4 linked regions of the Schizosaccharomyces pombe genome follow. The gene in region 2 interacts genetically with the main gene of each other region. Each region holds a gene or a part of one and is shown on either strand. Other genes may lie near its edges. The genes, in order: lys3, sre1, pro2 and lys4.

Region 1 (4,151 bases), on a different chromosome or scaffold from region 2:
GAGCATTTTCTCGGCAAAATGGTAATAATGTGTGGTTATGTCCCGAATAGATACACTATTAGGATTCGCCTTTAATGCATTTCGTACTACAGAAGAAAATGGTGCTGGCATATGAATACTAACAAAAGAACTATAAAGTAAGCAAATAAGCAAAATTATCCAATTTTCTATAAGACATTACATGTATATAATGTAACATGCAGAAAAAACCAAAAAAAAAAAAAAACTTTACTTACTTAATTGCTAAAACCTCTGCCAGCCAAAAAGGAAGTTCAACTTTAGAGCCCGTAGGAACCTAAACTGTTTAGAAAGTCAAGTTCTATTTTTATAAACTTCACTAACCATACGCCCTTCATGGCCTAGTCCTGGAATGGAAACTGTACTAGTACATGGAACCTTTTGATTTTCAGACAAGATACTATCAATATCATAGTAATCCATTTTTTTAATGTCTGAGCAGAAGGAATGATAGAAGTGTTATTGTTATTTTATCAAAATATGTTCATTTAGAAAAGTTGCAGTTACAAGGTAAAAGTAGGTAGATGCAACGATAAATTCAAATTTGAGTTGGCTAAGATATAGTGGATAAATAATGAACTGTAATTACACCAGTACTAATCAACAAAAAAAATAGAGATAAAAAAGATTTATTTTTACTTTTCTTAACAGAGCATCTAGTTCAAAAAATTAGTGCTGATAAATATTGTATGTTCGAGTACTAAAAATTTGCTTCAATGTTTAACTCGAAAAGTATGTCATACATGTGTATATTCGTCCTTCTGAAATTGGTCGAAAAATTTTATTAAAAAAAGGAAACTTTGTTCTATAGTTTCATTAAAGAAACGCATATGCTTGTTTGAATGTTATACCTATTTATGAAACTTGCTCATTATGCGATCAAAATTTACACAATCTTTCCGTAAAACTGATTTTTTTAAATGATTTTTAGTCCGTAATCTACAAAACATGATTGCATTGTATTCAAAATTATTTTGCGTATTAATTATTTAGTATGTCATTTCCAAATGCAAAAAGGTTTTAACACCGACATAGGCCAAATTTCATAAGTTATTCGCCAAGTTTCATCAACAGGTTCATCAAGTCATATACGCTTTAATCCATACTTTAGATGTCAACACCTTCGAGTTTATCAGCAATCTTTACCTGAGTAAATAATCAACCTGCTGCCAAACAATGTTGTAAAATCAAAGCAACAATTTGTTGTTCGTTTAATTAGTTACTCATAAAATTAAAGAGAACTCAGAGTTTACTTGGAAGGTAAATTAAATAGAAGTACCCCGCCAACTATAAACAATTAGTTTCAAAGGTTAAGCAGACTAGGATATACAGGAACTTTACATCCAAGACATCATCAAATATGCTATTCCCCCAATGTTATACGCAACAAATGGATGCCTTCGTAAGAATTGATATCGACGTTTGGTGAACACAGCACGAAACGTTAAAAACTTATTCACTACTTTTTGGAGAAGTACGCATCTTCCAAATGTCTTCACTATTCGGCCCTTGCCTAAACTTCATCCACTGCTGAAGACGCCGCTTACGAAGCCCTTCTTGAGCCTCTTCGTGAGCCTTCGACTTGGTTGACAGACACCATTTAAAGTCTTTAAAATTTCCCTTACATCTGTTGTATTCACCATAACGATAGTAATGATTCATTTGTGAGAACACTGTTAAACACATGGCCATTTGGTCAAAGTAATACTGTAAACTACACGGATCCTCAGGAATCCCTTTTTTCAAGTCGAGTATTTTATCTAGTTCCGCATACTGACCAAAAGTGCTTTTTTCATCATTTTCTTTAAAATTATTCATTATTTAAAAGCATACTAGTAAAAATCAAGTGAATTGTGCCTAGGATAGGTAGCTAACGTGACTGCCACTGAACCTGTGTAGCGTATTAGATCCATCAAGATCCCTTCTGCTCATATCATTGCTGATCTGTAAATTGACCGCATCAAATTTGATCTCATTTATATCGAGATTGATCTATATTATTTTGCCAATTTGCAGTATATAAACTTATTTGATTAAGTTTTTGGTCTCCTTCGCCACGTCTTCATTTTGTTAGTTTAAATTTTTTTGACTAACTTAGAAAGGGAAGTTTTTAAAAACGTTGAAATACTTTTTCGATTTAAAAATATATATTTAATTAATTTTCTGTTCCAAAATGGTTGCTCCTCATCTTTGGTTACGTGCTGAAACCAAACCTTTAGAAGAGCGCAGTGCTTTGACTCCTAGAACTGCCAAGATACTCGCCGATGCTGGATTTCAAATTACCATTGAGCGCTCTTCCCAACGTGCTTTCAAGGACAAAGAATTTGAGCGCCTTGGTTTCCCCATGGTTCCTGAGGGCTCATGGCGACATGCACCTAAGGACGCGTACATTATTGGTCTCAAAGAGCTTCCGGAAAATGATAACAGTCCTTTGAAGCATACTCATATTCAATTTGCTCATTGCTACAAAAACCAGGAAGGTTGGCGTGAAGTCTTGTCCCGATTCCCCGCTGGCAATGGTCTTCTATATGATTTGGAATTTTTGCAAGATGACAATGGCAGACGTGTTGCCGCTTTTGGTTACCACGCTGGTTTTGCTGGATCAGCTATCTCATGTTTAGTTTGGGCACATCAATTATTGCATCCTAACAAACAATTCCCTGCTATCCGTCCGTTCCCCAACGAAAAATCTTTGGTTCGCCATGTTGCTCGTCAAGTACGTTTAGCTTTGAAAAAGAATAACAACCAGTATCCTCGTATTCTGGTTATTGGGGCTCTTGGTCGTTGTGGTACTGGAGCGTGCGATTTAGCATCAAAGATTGGTATTCCCTTCGATAACATTCTTCGCTGGGACATTAATGAAACTAAGAAGGGTGGTCCCTTTACCGAAATTACGGAATCAGACATATTTGTTAACTGCATTTATCTGAGCATGCCTATTCCCAAATTCTGTACCGTCGAGTCGTTAAATGTACCTAACCGTAAATTGCGTGTTGTTTGTGATGTTAGCTGTGACACTACCAATCCTAACAATCCTATTCCAATTTATAATGTAAACACTACATTTGATCATCCTACAGTTGAGGTTAAAGGTGTCACAACTCCTCCTCCTTTAGAGGTCATTTCTATTGATCATCTTCCTACTTTATTGCCAAGGGAATCTTCCGAAGCATTTAGTGAAGCTCTAATTCCTAGTCTTTTGGCTTTGAAGGACGTCGACAATGCTCCCGTTTGGGTCAGAGCTAAAAAACTTTATGAAACCATGGTTCAAAAGCTTTAAAATAAATGTTATTTAATTTCAAAGTTCCGGGTCCTTTATATTGTTTCACCAAATTATTGAATATTATTTTCTCAAAAATTAACTTTAGAATACAATTTAGACGGCATTTTCGATGCTCTGGACATTTTTTCCACGTACTTGTTAAATTGTAGCGGTGTTGCATAATACTACCTTTTGATTTGTTATTCACGTTACAATATATATTTGACTAATTTAAATATGATAATATACACATTTCTCTGCAAACCTCCTTTATACTTTTCGCCGGTCATTGATTAATAATTAAGAAACAGGATTTCATCCTGCATTTGCCACTTACCTATATGGTAAATATAAATCTTGAAACTTTCCCCAATATTTATTGCTTGCCTTACGAAGTTAAATTATAGGCACAGACATCTTTGGCATTGGAAAGATTTAGTAACAATCATAATGTAGCACTTCTTAAAAAATCTAATTTTAGAACAAAAAGGCTTAAAAAAGAATGGTTCCGCTCTTTTAAAAAATAGTAAAATGTACAATAGCAAGGTTTTCGTAGGTCGACGGACATAACAAGGGGAAAGAGAAATAAAGCATGTAAACGTCAATAAAACATCTTTGATTCTGGATCAATCATATGCCAAATGAAGAAAAATAGCATTTATAACAACATGAAACCATATTTGAGACCTTTTAACGATGAAAATTTATTAAATAAAAGATAAAAAAGAAAGAAACCGTTCAAGTTCAATGAAAATTTCGTCGTGAAGTAGAAACCAAGATAATGGAAAGGCTTCGCAAAGCCACAAATTTTCCAATAGTCATTATAACTGAAGATTAAGGACAGTACTAACATCTGGAACACGAGCAAGAT
Region 2 (5,871 bases):
AACAAGAAGAAGTTCGACCCTCGTGTCTGGATCCATGAGGGTGAGAAGACCATGACCAAGCGTGTTCTTACCGCTCTTGAGGACTTCTACACTGTCAACACTCTCTAAATTTGTGGTTTTTGAAAGATGGAAATGATTGAATAGACGGTGGGCTTCATTAAAATTATATTTTTTTGTCCCCTTAATGAGAGTTCATACTGTTTTGAAATTACGTGTTTGAATATAGAGACATTGTTTTTTAAAATTACCATTGTAAAAGCATAAGAGATATTTGAAGTAAAGTAGGGCAAAGTAAGTTAAGAAATTTTTTTGGATTGGATTTGTAAAGTGTTTTTCAAGCATACTGTATATTGTTAAGATTTTTCTTTTTATCCTTTTATTCATCTTCCTTAATTGGTTAATGTGTTCTTAGGTATATAAATTTACAAAAAAAAAATTTCCGATTCCACATGACAATGAATGAATAAATAATATGTCCGTGCGTTTATTTGAATTTAATATATATCGTTTGGCAAATCTCGATGAGTAGCTTAAAACAACATAATCGCTTGAATTTCATGTGCTTTGTGTACACAGTGTGCATTGTTTAGTAGATCAACTTTTTCTTCTTTCATTGCAATGAGTACGGGCATTTTCCCTTTTCCTCCATATTTCACGAATCCATGTTTTTTTTAGATAACCCTTTCTCAATCAAAACTCAGCATGCTTCTTCAGACTTGACCACTTATATTGTCAGTACACTACTGCTCCTTAAAAGCTTACTCCAAGTCAAGACATCAAGGTTGGAGCAATCATTCTCTTCATGAGGTACTATGGCTGATTTTCTTGCTAGAGATTATCGCTCTCAAGGTGAGGCGGCGCATGAAATGCTGCCGACTTTCCTTATAGGAAAAATCTTGAGAGAACGCATAGTAGATTCTATTTACTGGAAAGAACAATGTTTTGGATTGAATGGTATGTGTTCTTCATTGACAGAAAAGGAAAGTGTTTTTACATATTAGAGTTCAAGTACGATTACTTTCCAAATCGATATTTTGAGTGATATAGCCTAAATGAACTTGATTTGGCAAGCAAAGAAACCAAGTATAGGTACTTGCTGTTTTAATCAGTCCTCAAACTGTTATTCCAAATTCACTGACTAATACATCTTAGCTTGTTCATTGGTGGATCGTGCAGTACGGCTTGAATATATAGGTGGTCAGTATGGAAATCAACGGCCCACCGAGTTTATCTGTTTGTTATACAAGCTTTTACAAATTGCACCTGAAAAAGAAATAATTCAACAGTACCTATCTATTCCTGAATTCAAGTATTTACGTGCCCTGGCTGCATTTTACGTTCGGCTTACATGGGATGATGTGGAAGTGCATCAAACGTTGGAACCGCTGTTAAGAGATTATCGGAAATTAAGAATTCGTACTAATTCTGAGATCCGATTAACATATCTGGATGAGGTTGTTGATGATTTGCTAAATGCCGAAGTAGTTTGCGATATTTCCCTGCCCCCATTGCGAAGTCGACTCCAACTTGAAGATTTGGACTTGCTTGAACCACTTTCATCTTCTTCAGACGAAGAAGATGATGATGAAGAACAAATTAGTAAATTGGAGAGCAATGAAGGTGCTGTAGATCGGAATATTTAAGGATAAGTAATATACAAAAAAAGAGTAAAGCGAAGCACGCATTTTGTGATGCGTCTACGATTTAACTTGGAATGACTCTACAAGGAAAAGTTATGGATTGAAATGGTTTTACACTTGAACTTATTAAAAAACAATTTATGAATAACAAACATCTAATCAAATAGATTTGTATATTAATATATATCGATTTCACATATTATCGCAAATACGCTATTTTTTCTTGTAAACAAATTTCGATAGACTTAGTTTACAGCACACTAAATATTTATAAAATGTCTTTGATACGCCACGGAATTTTTTTCACACCATACTTTAACGAATCACCCCATTCCGTCTATTTTCTTACGTTTCGTTAAAAACATGTCAGTCCACTTCTTTTTTGCTCACATATGAATTAACACGACTTTTCTCTTTCATCCATTACCATACTCGAGCAATCCTAACTTTGCTTATCGGGTGATCGATTTTAAATTTTTTTACTTATAGGACGTCCAGTAGCCTTTATAAGTTCATTGACAACAATTGGGTTGTTGCTGAGAGTTTGTTTACTGCGCTCGACTCTTGCTATAACCTAATCTTAAACGATTATCAAGCTGGATTTCCTTCTTGCTAAGAACATTATTTTATTTTACAACTCATTCAAGAAATTATTTTGCTATCTATCGCCTTGGATAGCTTTTAATGCGTCAAATTTTGGATAATTTGTAGCTCGATTAGAAAATTCGCTCAACATCCTATACAGTCACAGAGATAAAAAACCCTAAGAGTTAAATTCAATTTCTCTTTATTGTTGGATTTTTTAACTCGCTGTTAAATTCCGCTTGGTTCTAGCTGGAAATTTTGTTAAATATGCAAAGCTCAATTCCGTCAGTTTCCGTGTCGGTCGCTTCTCCTGCAATGGAAACTCCAACAAAAGCTTCGCCTGACAGCAAATCACCCAATTCAGTGGGTGCGATTCCTTCTTCATCCCCTTTGGCTTCATCGACAAAGGCTTCAACTTCTACTCCCTTTGTGGAGAATTGTTCCAATCTGTTGTGTGATTTGGCTAGCATTGTCGAGGACTCACCTCCAACCTTGACCAACACCTCGTTGTCTCCCCATTCGTTTTCCCTTTCTGATATGGAGTCATCAATGAGCAATTGGCTTAACCCTTTTGCGTTCGACAATACGATGAACTCGGCGCCTCCTCTGTTTACTTCGACCAACATGGGCTCCCCTAACTCGTTAGAAAACTCTACAAATCCTCTTCTCTCTAATTGCGGCTCTCCAAATTCATTTCAGAATGAGACCTTTACCGGCCCATCATTGAATGAGTTCGATGCCGATGATAAAATTCAGCGCCAAATGAAAATCCTTCACTCTGTTGATACAATCGATCCATCGACTGTTCAAAATTATCCTTCAGCTGATATGTCAAATCCAGAAGTCAAATTGAAAACCGAAGAAATTATTACACCCATGGACACCACTTGCAAGCCTGAACCTTCTGCCAAGAAAATAAAGTTGTCTCCTTCCTCGGAAGATTCTTGCTCAATTCCTGAAACATTACCTTTTTCGGCCCCCAAGTCTAGAGGCTCATTATCTCCTTCTGAAACCCCAGATTTTGTAGCCGGTCCTGGAGGAAAACCAAAGAAGACAGCTCATAACATGATTGAGAAGAGATACAGAACCAACTTGAACGACCGAATTTGTGAATTGCGTGATGCAGTTCCTTCACTTCGTGCTGCTGCTGCACTTCGTTGTGGTAATTCTCTGGACGATGAGGATTTGGGGGGTTTGACACCCGCTCGTAAGCTTAACAAGGGTACAATATTGGCAAAAGCAACTGAGTATATCAGACATTTGGAGGCCAAGAATAAGGAACTACAGAAGACTAACAAGCAGCTTTCAGATAGGCTGGCTTTCTACGAAGATCCTTCGATGGCTCCTCCTTCTAACGATACTCGAGCCGTTAACTCTGTTAATGTTGTTTCCTCATCTGACTATTCTGTTCACCAATCTTCTCGACCAAACCTAACCCAAAGAGCTTTTACTTCCCCAACCCTAAATACCATGGGCCGCACAGCACTAAATGGCATGGTTGGACTTGGTCTATTCAATTATTTTGGAAACGATTCTTCTCAATCTGTTTATGGTTTATTCGCTCTTCCACCTTTTCTTATGTCTCCATTCACAGGTACTGTTCTCTTTAACATGCTGAAAATTGGTGTTGTTTTACTCGGTTTATTCTATCTTTTGCACGATAACTCTCTTTTCAAAGGCTTCAAGGGTGAAAAGAAATCTAAAGTTAGTACCAGATCTTCCATGTCACCATCCTCAATCTTATTCCGAAAAACCGTATTCGAAAAGTATTGTTTATTGGACCATTCTACTTCGACTATTTCTCTATTTTTTGGATTACTGATCTTCACTCTTAAATCTGCTTATGGCTATTTGACTCATCGTTTGAGTGCTCTTTATACCTCCTCTGAGAATTGGGTTTATAGTGAGCAACAACTTGCTGAAGTTCGCAACATGGAAAAGCTTTTGGATGCCCAATTAATGGGTGGTGATGCTAAAGTTGACCGTTTGAGGCTCTTAATGGTATTTGCCAGTTCATTTTCTCTTCCTCCTTCAAGTCATACTTGTGCTTTACAAGCAATGTATTGCCAACTAATTTTTTCCAACACCTCTGTCCCATCCGCTATCGTTTCGAAGTGCGTTGCTTTCTTCTGGAATGCTGCAAAGAAACAACATAGCAAAAGTTCTGTACACGCGGAGTTACGTGAGCTTCCTGAGTGTACTGCTAACCTAATTGAAAACTCCCACGCTGACGACGTTTTCTCTCCGAATATGGTTGAGCGATTGTGGGTTCTAGCAAAGTGCACCCGTGACTCTGCTCAAATGTCAGATAGTATTATTAGCTCCTTATCTGATGTTTTGGTTTTATCTCCTCTAGAGGTGCTTGCCTCATGGTATGCCGCTGATTTGTTGGATGCCCTTTTGATGGAAAGTTTGAGCCGTAAAGTTGAGATATCCGAGATTGAGGAAATTATTTCCCTTTGTCCTAAGAACTCCTCTATTATTCGTCATGCTTTACTAGCTAAATTGGTTTTGTTCCCCGAGAATACAGCTGATTCTTTGAATGAAGTCCTTGCAGCATACAAGAACACTTTGGATTTATGCAGCCAAGATAAACGCAAGCAGTCAAGCGTGTTAAAGATCAACTTATCCAAGCTATTCACACTCCACTCATGCCTATCATTAGCACTCCAACGCCTTGGATACGGGGATGTTTCTAAACGTATGTATCAGGAAATCTTTGTACCTGATAGTGATGCAGACATTACACCTTTATCTTTTATTATTTCCTGGACCGCTTTGAACACTTTTGCTCCTATTTGCACATCTCCAAAGGAAAACGATGTCGTTGAAAAGATGGCCATGTACGTGCGGACGGCCATCGGAACTTTGAAAATTCAAGATTTGAAATTATCTCGTAAGTTAATCAACTCTTGCATAGATATTGGATCTCGCTTACAAGAAGATTTGGGTTATGTTTCATCAGCTTAAATTGTCGATTCTCGAGCTTTGAGAACAGTTAGTATACAACGCTCATCTATTGCAACTACCTTATTATTTTCCATGATTGTTATTTCATCAGTTATTTTGCGTATCATTTTTTAGTTTTAATTATTCTTTTAATAAATTACAGTTGTCGTCGGTAAGAGCAGTGATAAAAATATGCAATTAGAGTTATTTTGTTGTATCAAGCTAGCACAATTCACCATTTGAGTATATTTGGTGATTAAATAAAATGAATAGAGTACAATTTGAGGCATGCTAAGGTTCATCGAACTAACTATTTTTTTAAATAATGACACATTGGCAAGATTAAAAAATTGGATTCTTCTCTTGCAGTTAACTCTCTGCTGTTGATGAAGATGTGTTGAATCTTAGACTGCTGATATCCATTTTATACCAATTGTATAAAAAAAAGAATGTCAATTATTAATAAAATGGAAATGCATAAGATAGATAAGAGTGGTCTGAAGTTTTACGGTACAGTACGTAGTTCCGTCCTTACTGAAATCTCGGGAGTAATACGAACCATTCACCAAAGGTAAACAAACTACCAAATTGTTTTTATGTATTATTTACTACTATATTGGTTAACTTATTCTGAATCCTACAACCTAAAATAAAAATAAATAGACTCGCTTTTATTATTTGTCGATTCAAGAACTTA
Region 3 (3,909 bases), on a different chromosome or scaffold from region 2:
GAATAAAGAATACAGTGACGAATGAAGCTACTAAATAGTGCAATTTAGTGAATATTCCTTTTGTTATAGATAGGTAACATGGGTAACGATGCTCAGTAAGCTCATTCAAACATGACACAGCCGGCTTCGTACAGCTTACATTACCCAACGACATATACATACTTTTGTTGTACCTGTCCCGTATTTGTGGACACTGGAAAAGTAGAATACTTAGAATGAGATTACCTCTGCTGAGTTTTGTTATATTTGCGCTTTTTGCGCTTGTATTTGCATCAGGTGTTGTAGAGCTCCAAAGTCTCAATGAGTTGGAGAATACTATCCGAGCTTCTAAAAAAGGAGCATTGATTGAGTTTTACGCCACCTGGTGTGGACATTGTAAATCTTTAGCGCCAGTGTATGAAGAACTTGGCGCTCTTTTCGAAGACCACAATGATGTCTTGATTGGCAAAATTGATGCGGATACACACTCCGATGTTGCTGATAAATACCACATTACTGGTTTTCCAACACTGATCTGGTTTCCTCCTGATGGATCTGAACCAGTTCAGTACTCCAATGCTCGCGACGTTGACAGTTTGACTCAATTTGTGTCTGAGAAAACTGGTATCAAAAAACGCAAGATTGTCCTCCCTAGCAATGTAGTTGAGCTCGATTCTTTGAATTTTGACAAGGTTGTTATGGACGATAAAAAAGATGTTTTAGTTGAATTTTATGCGGATTGGTGCGGTTATTGCAAGCGTTTGGCTCCTACTTACGAAACTCTTGGCAAGGTATTCAAAAACGAACCAAACGTTGAGATTGTTAAAATTAATGCAGACGTCTTTGCTGACATCGGAAGGCTACATGAAGTTGCAAGCTTTCCCACCATCAAATTCTTTCCTAAAGATGATAAAGATAAGCCTGAATTATACGAAGGAGATCGTTCTTTAGAATCTTTGATCGAGTACATTAATAAGAAATCTGGAACTCAACGTTCTCCCGATGGCACTTTACTTTCTACTGCCGGCCGTATTCCAACTTTCGATGAATTTGCTGCTGAGTTTTTGGATATGTCAAACGCTGCCAAGGAAGTTGTTCTTGAAAAAGTCAAGCAGTTAGCCTTAGAGGATTCATCTAGATGGACTAAGTATTACAAGAAGGTTTTTGAGAAGATTTTAAATGATGAAAATTGGGTACATAAAGAAGCTAAGCGTTTGTCTAAACTTTTACGCCAGAAGAGCATCGCTTTGGCCAGTGCTGATGATTTTAAAACTCGCCTTAACATTCTAAATTCCTTCCTTCCTGGTAATCACTAGTGATTTGGAAATGTTTGCTACGTTATAGGTGAAAAAACTTAATCTTATGACCGTAGGTTTATAAATAAATCAACAGTTTCATGATATTTTCGATAAATACTGAGGAATATGTAGGTTAAAGTATTACCCTTTAACAATTTTTTATGTACTTATAAAAATAGATTTTCTCTCCATTAATGATTTGTGTCTTTTTTAGTTTCTACGTATATGATAAACTAAAGACAATAATTAATATTAAATAGAACGTTGTAGGTAAATTCAACAGCTATATACTCTAACAGGCTTTTATCCTTAAAATTGAAATCCAAATCCTACATATAATTATTCCTTATCAATGGGCTATAAGGCTTTCCGTTATTTTACCACTACTAGATGGGCCGTTGATTTGTAAAGGTGAAGACAAGTCGTATTCCACTAAAATTTATCCTTTTTTTAAAAAATAAATTTCAACAGTAACTTTGTAGATTTTTTTTAAAATGTCTCCGAAGTCGAAAAGCACAAATAAGACTTACACAATTGTCATCAAACTTGGTAAGCACGGAATAGTAAGCTATACAAAAGCATATGTATGAATTTTATATCTCACTTTTTCAAATATGTATTTCTTTGTTTGCTCGTTGTTGGCATCACAAACGCTTTGCTAACATTATTTTAGGCACATCGTCAATTTGTGATGAAAAGACTCATGAACCATTAATTTCAAATTTGTCACTAATCGTTGAAACCGTTGTCAAGCTTCGAAAGTTGGGTCATAATGTCGTTTTGGTTTCAAGTGGTGGTATTGCAATGGGCCTTCGTAGATTAGATTTACCTAAGCGTCCTTCAAAGCTTTCTGCTGTACAAGCAATTGCCGCGGTCGGTCAAGGAAGACTAATTTCCTTATGGGATACCTTATTTACACAACTTCGTCAGCCTATTGCGCAAGTTTTAATCACTAGAAACGACATTGCCGAGGTAAGATTCAGATAATTATTGTTGACACTTAAAAAATTATTTTAATTACTGACGGGTACTAACTATTAATATTTAGAGATCCCAATATGTAAATGCAGCGAACACAATTTCCGAGTTGCTACATTTTGGGGTAGTTCCCATTGTAAATGAAAATGATACTCTGTCTGTTCAAGAAATCCGTTTTGGTGATAACGATACTTTATCGGCAATTACAGCTGGCATGATAAACGCAGATTATTTGTTTTTACTTACAGATGTTGATTGTTTGTATACAGACAACCCACGTACCAACCCTGACGCTAAGCCTATTTTAAAAATTCATGATACATCAATGGTAAATGCAAACGTTTCCACACCCGGTAGTGGAGTTGGAACAGGGGGAATGAAGACGAAATTGATCGCTGCAGATTTGGGAACGTCTTCAGGCGTAAATGTTATAATATGTCGTGGTTCTAAACCTTCGAGTATATTCGATATAATCCGTCAGGAATCCTCTGATAATAAAAATGAGTCAGTTGAATTACCTCTGCATACCCACTTTGTAGCCAAAAAGCAAGGAAGGATCCGTGATCGACACTTTTGGCTTTTGCACGGCCTTAAATCACATGGGAGTTTGGAAATTGATCGTGGGGCTTTCGAGGCTATAACCCGTACAAATAGAGCAGGATTACTACCAGTTGGTGTAACCAAAGTACATGGCCATTTTTCAGCTCACCAAGCAGTTACGGTTATTTACAACGGAGAGGAAATTGGCAGAGCCCTTGTTAATTACAGCAGTACTGAAATAGATTTGATTAAAGGCAAGAGAAGCAAAGAAATTGCATCCATCTTAGGATATAACGAAACTGAATATGTCGCCTACAGAGACTATTTAGTAGTTCATGGTTTAAATTCTCATCATGATTCACAAGTTAGTTCTGATGAGCATTGATGTATATATTTAATCACTAGCTTATTTAGAACTACTAAAATTTGTTTTTGCTCTGTTTTTTACCTTTATTATTGGCTTACTGTTATTGAAATTTTTTTGTTATAGAAGGAAGGTTTACGAACTTAATATACAAAAACAGAACCATAAATATCTATTAGAAAATTTATTAAGATTTGTTTATTTTTGTTAAAAAACTATTAACCTTAGATAATAATCAGACGTTTTGTACTGAGTTGTGTAATTAACAAAGTACATTTTGTTGGTATTATATCGGATACTTCCTACGAAGCCTGTGATTGGATTTGGCTTTCATAAACGATGAATATAAGTACACGCAATTCCAACCTCCCCTTGATACAGTAAAACTTACAAAGAAAACAATGAGTAGCTCGACTTACAGGAAATTGCCTAAAATCTTAGCTGCAGGTCTTGCTATTGGTTGCGCAGGTGGTTATTATGCTTATAAAAATTCGAATAAGCCCCCAGGACTTAATCCCGAAATTTATGCTCCATTTACAGTTAATAAAATTACAGAGCTTACATCCGATGCTAGCTTGTTTTCGTTAGTTCCTCAGAGCCCTTCTGAACACCTTACTACTTTGGAACCGATTGCTAAGGTAACAATTCGTGATCCCAGTATGCAAGTCCAGAGACCATATACCCCTTTGTACTTGGATGCCAATGAATTAAAGTTCTTTATTAGAAAGTATGAAGAGGGTCCCGTTAGTT
Region 4 (4,363 bases), 1.8 Mb from region 2:
CCTTCTAATGGTTTATAAACGTACATCAGAAGATTTTTTTAAGACAGTCTTAACATTCCAAATACCAATACTGAGGCACTAAACAGTTGAACGTTTTGTTATTCTTCAAGGACAAGAATTCCTTGACAAGAAATGAGCTAAGTATATTATTTGAAATAGCTAAAATAGTCACTGTTTTATTTCTATTCACGCATTGTTGTCATTGAAATGATGATGCTGAATCAAATAATGTGTTGAGCATAAAACGCACGTTAAATTCAGTATCTATGAAAATAATCTTTTTTGCCTAATGCTTAAGATAATTTTTTTTTTTTTTTTTACAAACTAATAAACAAACAAATAAATAATTATAGCTAATGTTCAGTTATTGTCCGGCTTCTTCCCGGAACTTAGTTAGGATAAGTGGCAGCAACACATACAGAATCCAAGTATCCTTTAACCCCCTTCTCATACAAAAAATAGCAGGCCTATTATCGTTACTATTGTTACCATTTTCCCATAAAAAAAGAAATATAATACTTAAATTTGATTATTTTGAATATTTCTGAGTAACTTTAAAGAACGACTTTTGCATGATAATAAAAACACGTTGTTTTATGACTTTTTGAAACCCTCACAACATAAAAACTTATATAATATGGCTTTACAACAATACAATAAATTTCCTTTCTTTTTTTCTGGTATTTTAGGACCTACGAGGTTGAATGGTTTACAAATGCCGCCTATCCAAACGATGGTTCGTTGGGGACACCAGTATGCACCCAGAAGCATCAGAAACCAAAAAGCTCAGAAAGGAAGAGTCCCTATACCCATAGGAGGTTCACTACGTGGTACTCAACTTGAATGGGGAGAATATGGTATGCGATTAAAAGATCGAAGTATAAGATTTCATGCCAAGCAACTCGAAACTGCCGAACAGATTCTCAAGCGTATATTAAAACCTATCAAGGCTGCTCGGGTATACACACGTTTTTGTTGCAATGTGCCAGTATGCGTAAAAGGAAATGAAACTCGTATGGGCAAAGGCAAAGGAGCTTTTGAATACTGGGCTGCACGGATACCAATCGGTCGTGTACTTTTTGAAATTGGTGGTGATGGAATGCGTAAAGAGTTAGCTGAGCATGCATTGAAGCAAGCCGCTTTTCACCTTCCAGGCAAGTATGAGATTATCGTCAAGCAAACCCCCAAAAGATTGGGTACCACACTGATTCATGAAACCCCCATTACCACCGAGACAAGCAAAATGAACTATCAGGAAATTACCAGTACTACTACAGCTGTTTAAGGGAAAAGTTAAGCTGAATTTATCTATTTTTAACCCATTCAATAATTACTTTTCTGTCATACTTCTCACTTACTTAGTTTGTGAACTTAATGCTGCATCTTTGTACAGACATTCATGAGCTTCTTTTCAATCGTTGTAGTTATTCTATGTTTTAGTGAATGAAATTTGCCAGAAATGCCTTAAAACATTGTACATTTTGCGCTATGTTTCATTATCTATTTTCGAAATGGGAACTTTCATCCCCAATGAGAGAGTTGCTTAATTTTTGTTGGCGAAATATGAACCACTTTTGATTCACTTTGATTACGGCTCGGCAATTTCGTTAAAACATCAAATTTCTTTGGTCCTGAAAAGTTGGTAACGGTAATGAGTGTTTTTGGCGAAAATCTTATTTGCTGCTCTCTGCTCCGTTGGGGACTTTTTTTCGGGATGTAAAAAACGGCACGTTGTATATGTGCGAAATCATGAAGTGAATCAAAAAGTACACTTTAAATAATATGAAACTGATTTTACTATGGAATTACGAATGAAATTATTCAAATCAACTCCACTAAAATATTTACAACGTTTACAAAAAAAATCACTATACCTTCTAGAACCTAGCTTAGCAATCCACTGTTGAGTGGATCAGTAACTTAATCATTACTACCATAGATCTGATTAAATCTCATCAAGATCGATCGGGATCTGTAAATCAATTTTCTACCATAAATTACCGCGGTTGCCTACGAGTTGGTAGTGACTGTTTCTTTCAGTAAATAAATAGGGTAGGGTCGAATTTTTTGAAATTCATACATACGTGCATCCTTGCTCTTAGTTGTCTCCTCTACAGTGATAAAAGATTTAGCTTAAAAAATTCAAAGCTAACAGGTTTCGGGACAATAAGTTGTTGAATTGTATAATTTATATATTTATACTTAATTCATTTTAGAAAATTCGCTTTTCCTTTTCCTTTTTTTGCATTTTAAAGTCATCAACATGTCTGTGTCCGAAGCTAATGGTACTGAGACCATCAAGCCTCCTATGAATGGAAACCCTTATGGTCCCAACCCATCTGATTTTCTTTCACGTGTCAATAACTTTTCCATTATTGAGTCTACTCTTCGTGAAGGTGAGCAATTCGCAAACGCTTTTTTCGACACCGAGAAGAAAATTCAAATTGCTAAGGCATTGGACAACTTTGGTGTCGATTACATTGAATTGACTTCTCCCGTGGCTTCTGAGCAGTCCCGCCAAGATTGCGAAGCTATTTGCAAATTGGGCTTAAAGTGTAAAATTTTAACTCATATTCGCTGTCATATGGATGACGCTCGTGTCGCTGTTGAGACTGGAGTTGATGGTGTTGATGTTGTTATCGGAACTTCTCAATATCTTCGCAAATATTCCCATGGAAAGGACATGACTTACATTATTGACAGCGCTACCGAAGTTATCAACTTTGTCAAGAGCAAGGGTATTGAAGTCCGCTTTTCATCTGAGGATTCTTTCCGTTCTGATCTTGTCGATCTCCTTTCTCTCTACAAGGCTGTAGACAAGATTGGCGTCAACCGTGTTGGTATTGCTGACACCGTTGGTTGCGCTACTCCTCGCCAAGTCTACGATCTTATTCGTACCTTACGTGGTGTTGTCTCTTGTGATATTGAATGTCATTTTCACAATGACACTGGTATGGCTATTGCTAATGCCTATTGCGCATTGGAAGCTGGTGCTACCCATATCGATACTTCCATTCTTGGTATTGGTGAGCGTAATGGTATTACTCCTCTTGGTGCCTTGTTGGCTCGTATGTATGTCACCGATAGGGAATACATTACCCACAAATACAAGCTTAACCAGTTACGTGAGCTTGAAAACCTTGTCGCTGATGCCGTTGAAGTTCAAATTCCTTTCAACAATTACATTACCGGAATGTGTGCTTTTACCCATAAGGCTGGTATCCATGCTAAAGCTATTCTCGCTAACCCTTCTACATATGAAATTCTTAAGCCCGAGGACTTTGGCATGAGTCGTTATGTTCATGTTGGCTCTCGTTTGACTGGTTGGAATGCCATCAAATCTCGTGCTGAGCAGCTTAACCTTCATCTTACTGATGCCCAAGCCAAGGAACTTACCGTTCGCATCAAGAAATTGGCTGATGTCCGTACTTTAGCCATGGATGATGTTGATCGTGTTCTACGTGAATACCATGCTGACTTGAGTGATGCTGATAGAATCACCAAAGAAGCGTCTGCTTAAATTGGAAGTGATTATTAGCCCCAATTTTAAAAATTTAACTCCTCTCTTCTTGGCTTGCATTGTATATATGTTTCGCATGTATATCTATTAAAAAATTTTTTTTCGTTGCAAGTGCTGGTTCTTTTACGTAGTGTCTTGATATTGATCATTAAAAAAGTTTTTTTCTCTTTATGTGTTCTTTTAAAGATCACAATTATTCCTGCTTCAAGCCTTATTGCAATGTTATATCTGGTTGCTTTTACTTTTGGGTCGTTTTATGTTTTAAGGTGATATATGACAAACATTATTTATCGTTTTTATTCTATTAAAATAAAATATTTTAATTTGAAAATTTATATTAGCACGCTCAAGGAATTACTTCCTTGCTACTTCATTTTATGTAAAGTTAATGCGTATTTTTATATAATTTTTCAAACCTATTATTACCTTTTGTAAAAAATAATTTAAACCCCTTGTAACCAGTGATTTTTCTTAAATGAAATTACTCTAAAAAATATGGCACCTAAAATTATCCATTCTATGCATTCGTACAGATATACTCTTCCTTAATTCTTTTTTTGAACCCTTTTAGACGTGTGCATCCCAGTCGAAAATTTATCACGATGCATAGAAGCTGAAATGTTAGTCAACAAAGATTCTTATTAAAAAAACATACCTTTGTTAAGTTTCTTCTCGTGTTTTCGAAAATCCACTTTACCAACTTTTGCTTTTTTGTTCATAGGATTTTTGATTGCCAAATCTTCACTATCGGAAGCATCCCTTTTATTATCCACGACTTTTTTATCACCTCTTGAACGACGTACGCGCCAAATTCGTTGCAACCATTCTTTATCAGTCTCATTC

What was found.
Region 1: mutations in sre1 (region 2) and lys3 together harm fitness more than expected from each alone (negative genetic interaction), as found in Schizosaccharomyces pombe (2 studies listed by BioGRID).
Region 3: mutations in sre1 (region 2) and pro2 together harm fitness more than expected from each alone (negative genetic interaction), as found in Schizosaccharomyces pombe (2 studies listed by BioGRID).
Region 4: mutations in sre1 (region 2) and lys4 together harm fitness more than expected from each alone (negative genetic interaction), as found in Schizosaccharomyces pombe (2 studies listed by BioGRID).

What each region holds. Positions count from the first base shown.
Region 1 is NC_003424.3:528,331-532,481, forward strand, and holds lys3 (saccharopine dehydrogenase Lys3), read left to right. Parts: upstream 1-1,948; 5' UTR 1,949-2,191; coding exon 2,192-3,298; 3' UTR 3,299-3,651; downstream 3,652-4,151. Other genes in the region: GINS complex subunit Psf3, read right to left, coding at 1-130, 237-295, 343-441; SPOM_SPAC227.17C (uncharacterized protein), read right to left, coding at 1,471-1,836; NLI-interacting factor-like phosphatase Psr1, read right to left, coding at 4,102-4,151. UniProt on the Schizosaccharomyces pombe protein: Catalyzes the NAD(+)-dependent cleavage of saccharopine to L-lysine and 2-oxoglutarate, the final step in the alpha-aminoadipate (AAA) pathway for lysin biosynthesis.
Region 2 is NC_003423.3:1,689,336-1,695,206, forward strand, and holds sre1 (transcription factor Sre1), read left to right. Parts: upstream 1-2,058; 5' UTR 2,059-2,492; coding exon 2,493-5,195; 3' UTR 5,196-5,356; downstream 5,357-5,871. Other genes in the region: fructose-bisphosphate aldolase Fba1, read left to right, coding at 1-108; U4/U5/U6 small nuclear ribonucleoprotein complex subunit PRP38, read left to right, coding at 813-954, 1,153-1,643.
Region 3 is NC_003424.3:2,026,615-2,030,523, reverse strand, and holds pro2 (glutamate 5-kinase), read left to right. Parts: upstream 1-1,656; 5' UTR 1,657-1,771; coding exon 1,772-1,826; intron 1,827-1,950; coding exon 1,951-2,249; exon of another isoform or gene 2,250-2,325; coding exon 2,326-3,180; 3' UTR 3,181-3,316; downstream 3,317-3,909. Other genes in the region: ER protein disulfide isomerase Pdi2, read left to right, coding at 216-1,295; cytochrome c-heme-linkage protein Cyc2, read left to right, coding at 3,561-3,909.
Region 4 is NC_003423.3:3,505,208-3,509,570, reverse strand, and holds lys4 (homocitrate synthase), read left to right. Parts: upstream 1-2,022; 5' UTR 2,023-2,263; coding exon 2,264-3,520; 3' UTR 3,521-3,863; downstream 3,864-4,363. Other genes in the region: mrpl16 (mitochondrial 54S ribosomal protein uL16m), read left to right, coding at 638-1,285; SPOM_SPBC1105.01 (rRNA-processing Rrp12-like protein), read right to left, coding at 4,066-4,133, 4,176-4,363. UniProt on the Schizosaccharomyces pombe protein: Catalyzes the aldol-type condensation of 2-oxoglutarate with acetyl-CoA to yield homocitrate, the first step of the alpha-aminoadipate (AAA) lysine biosynthesis pathway.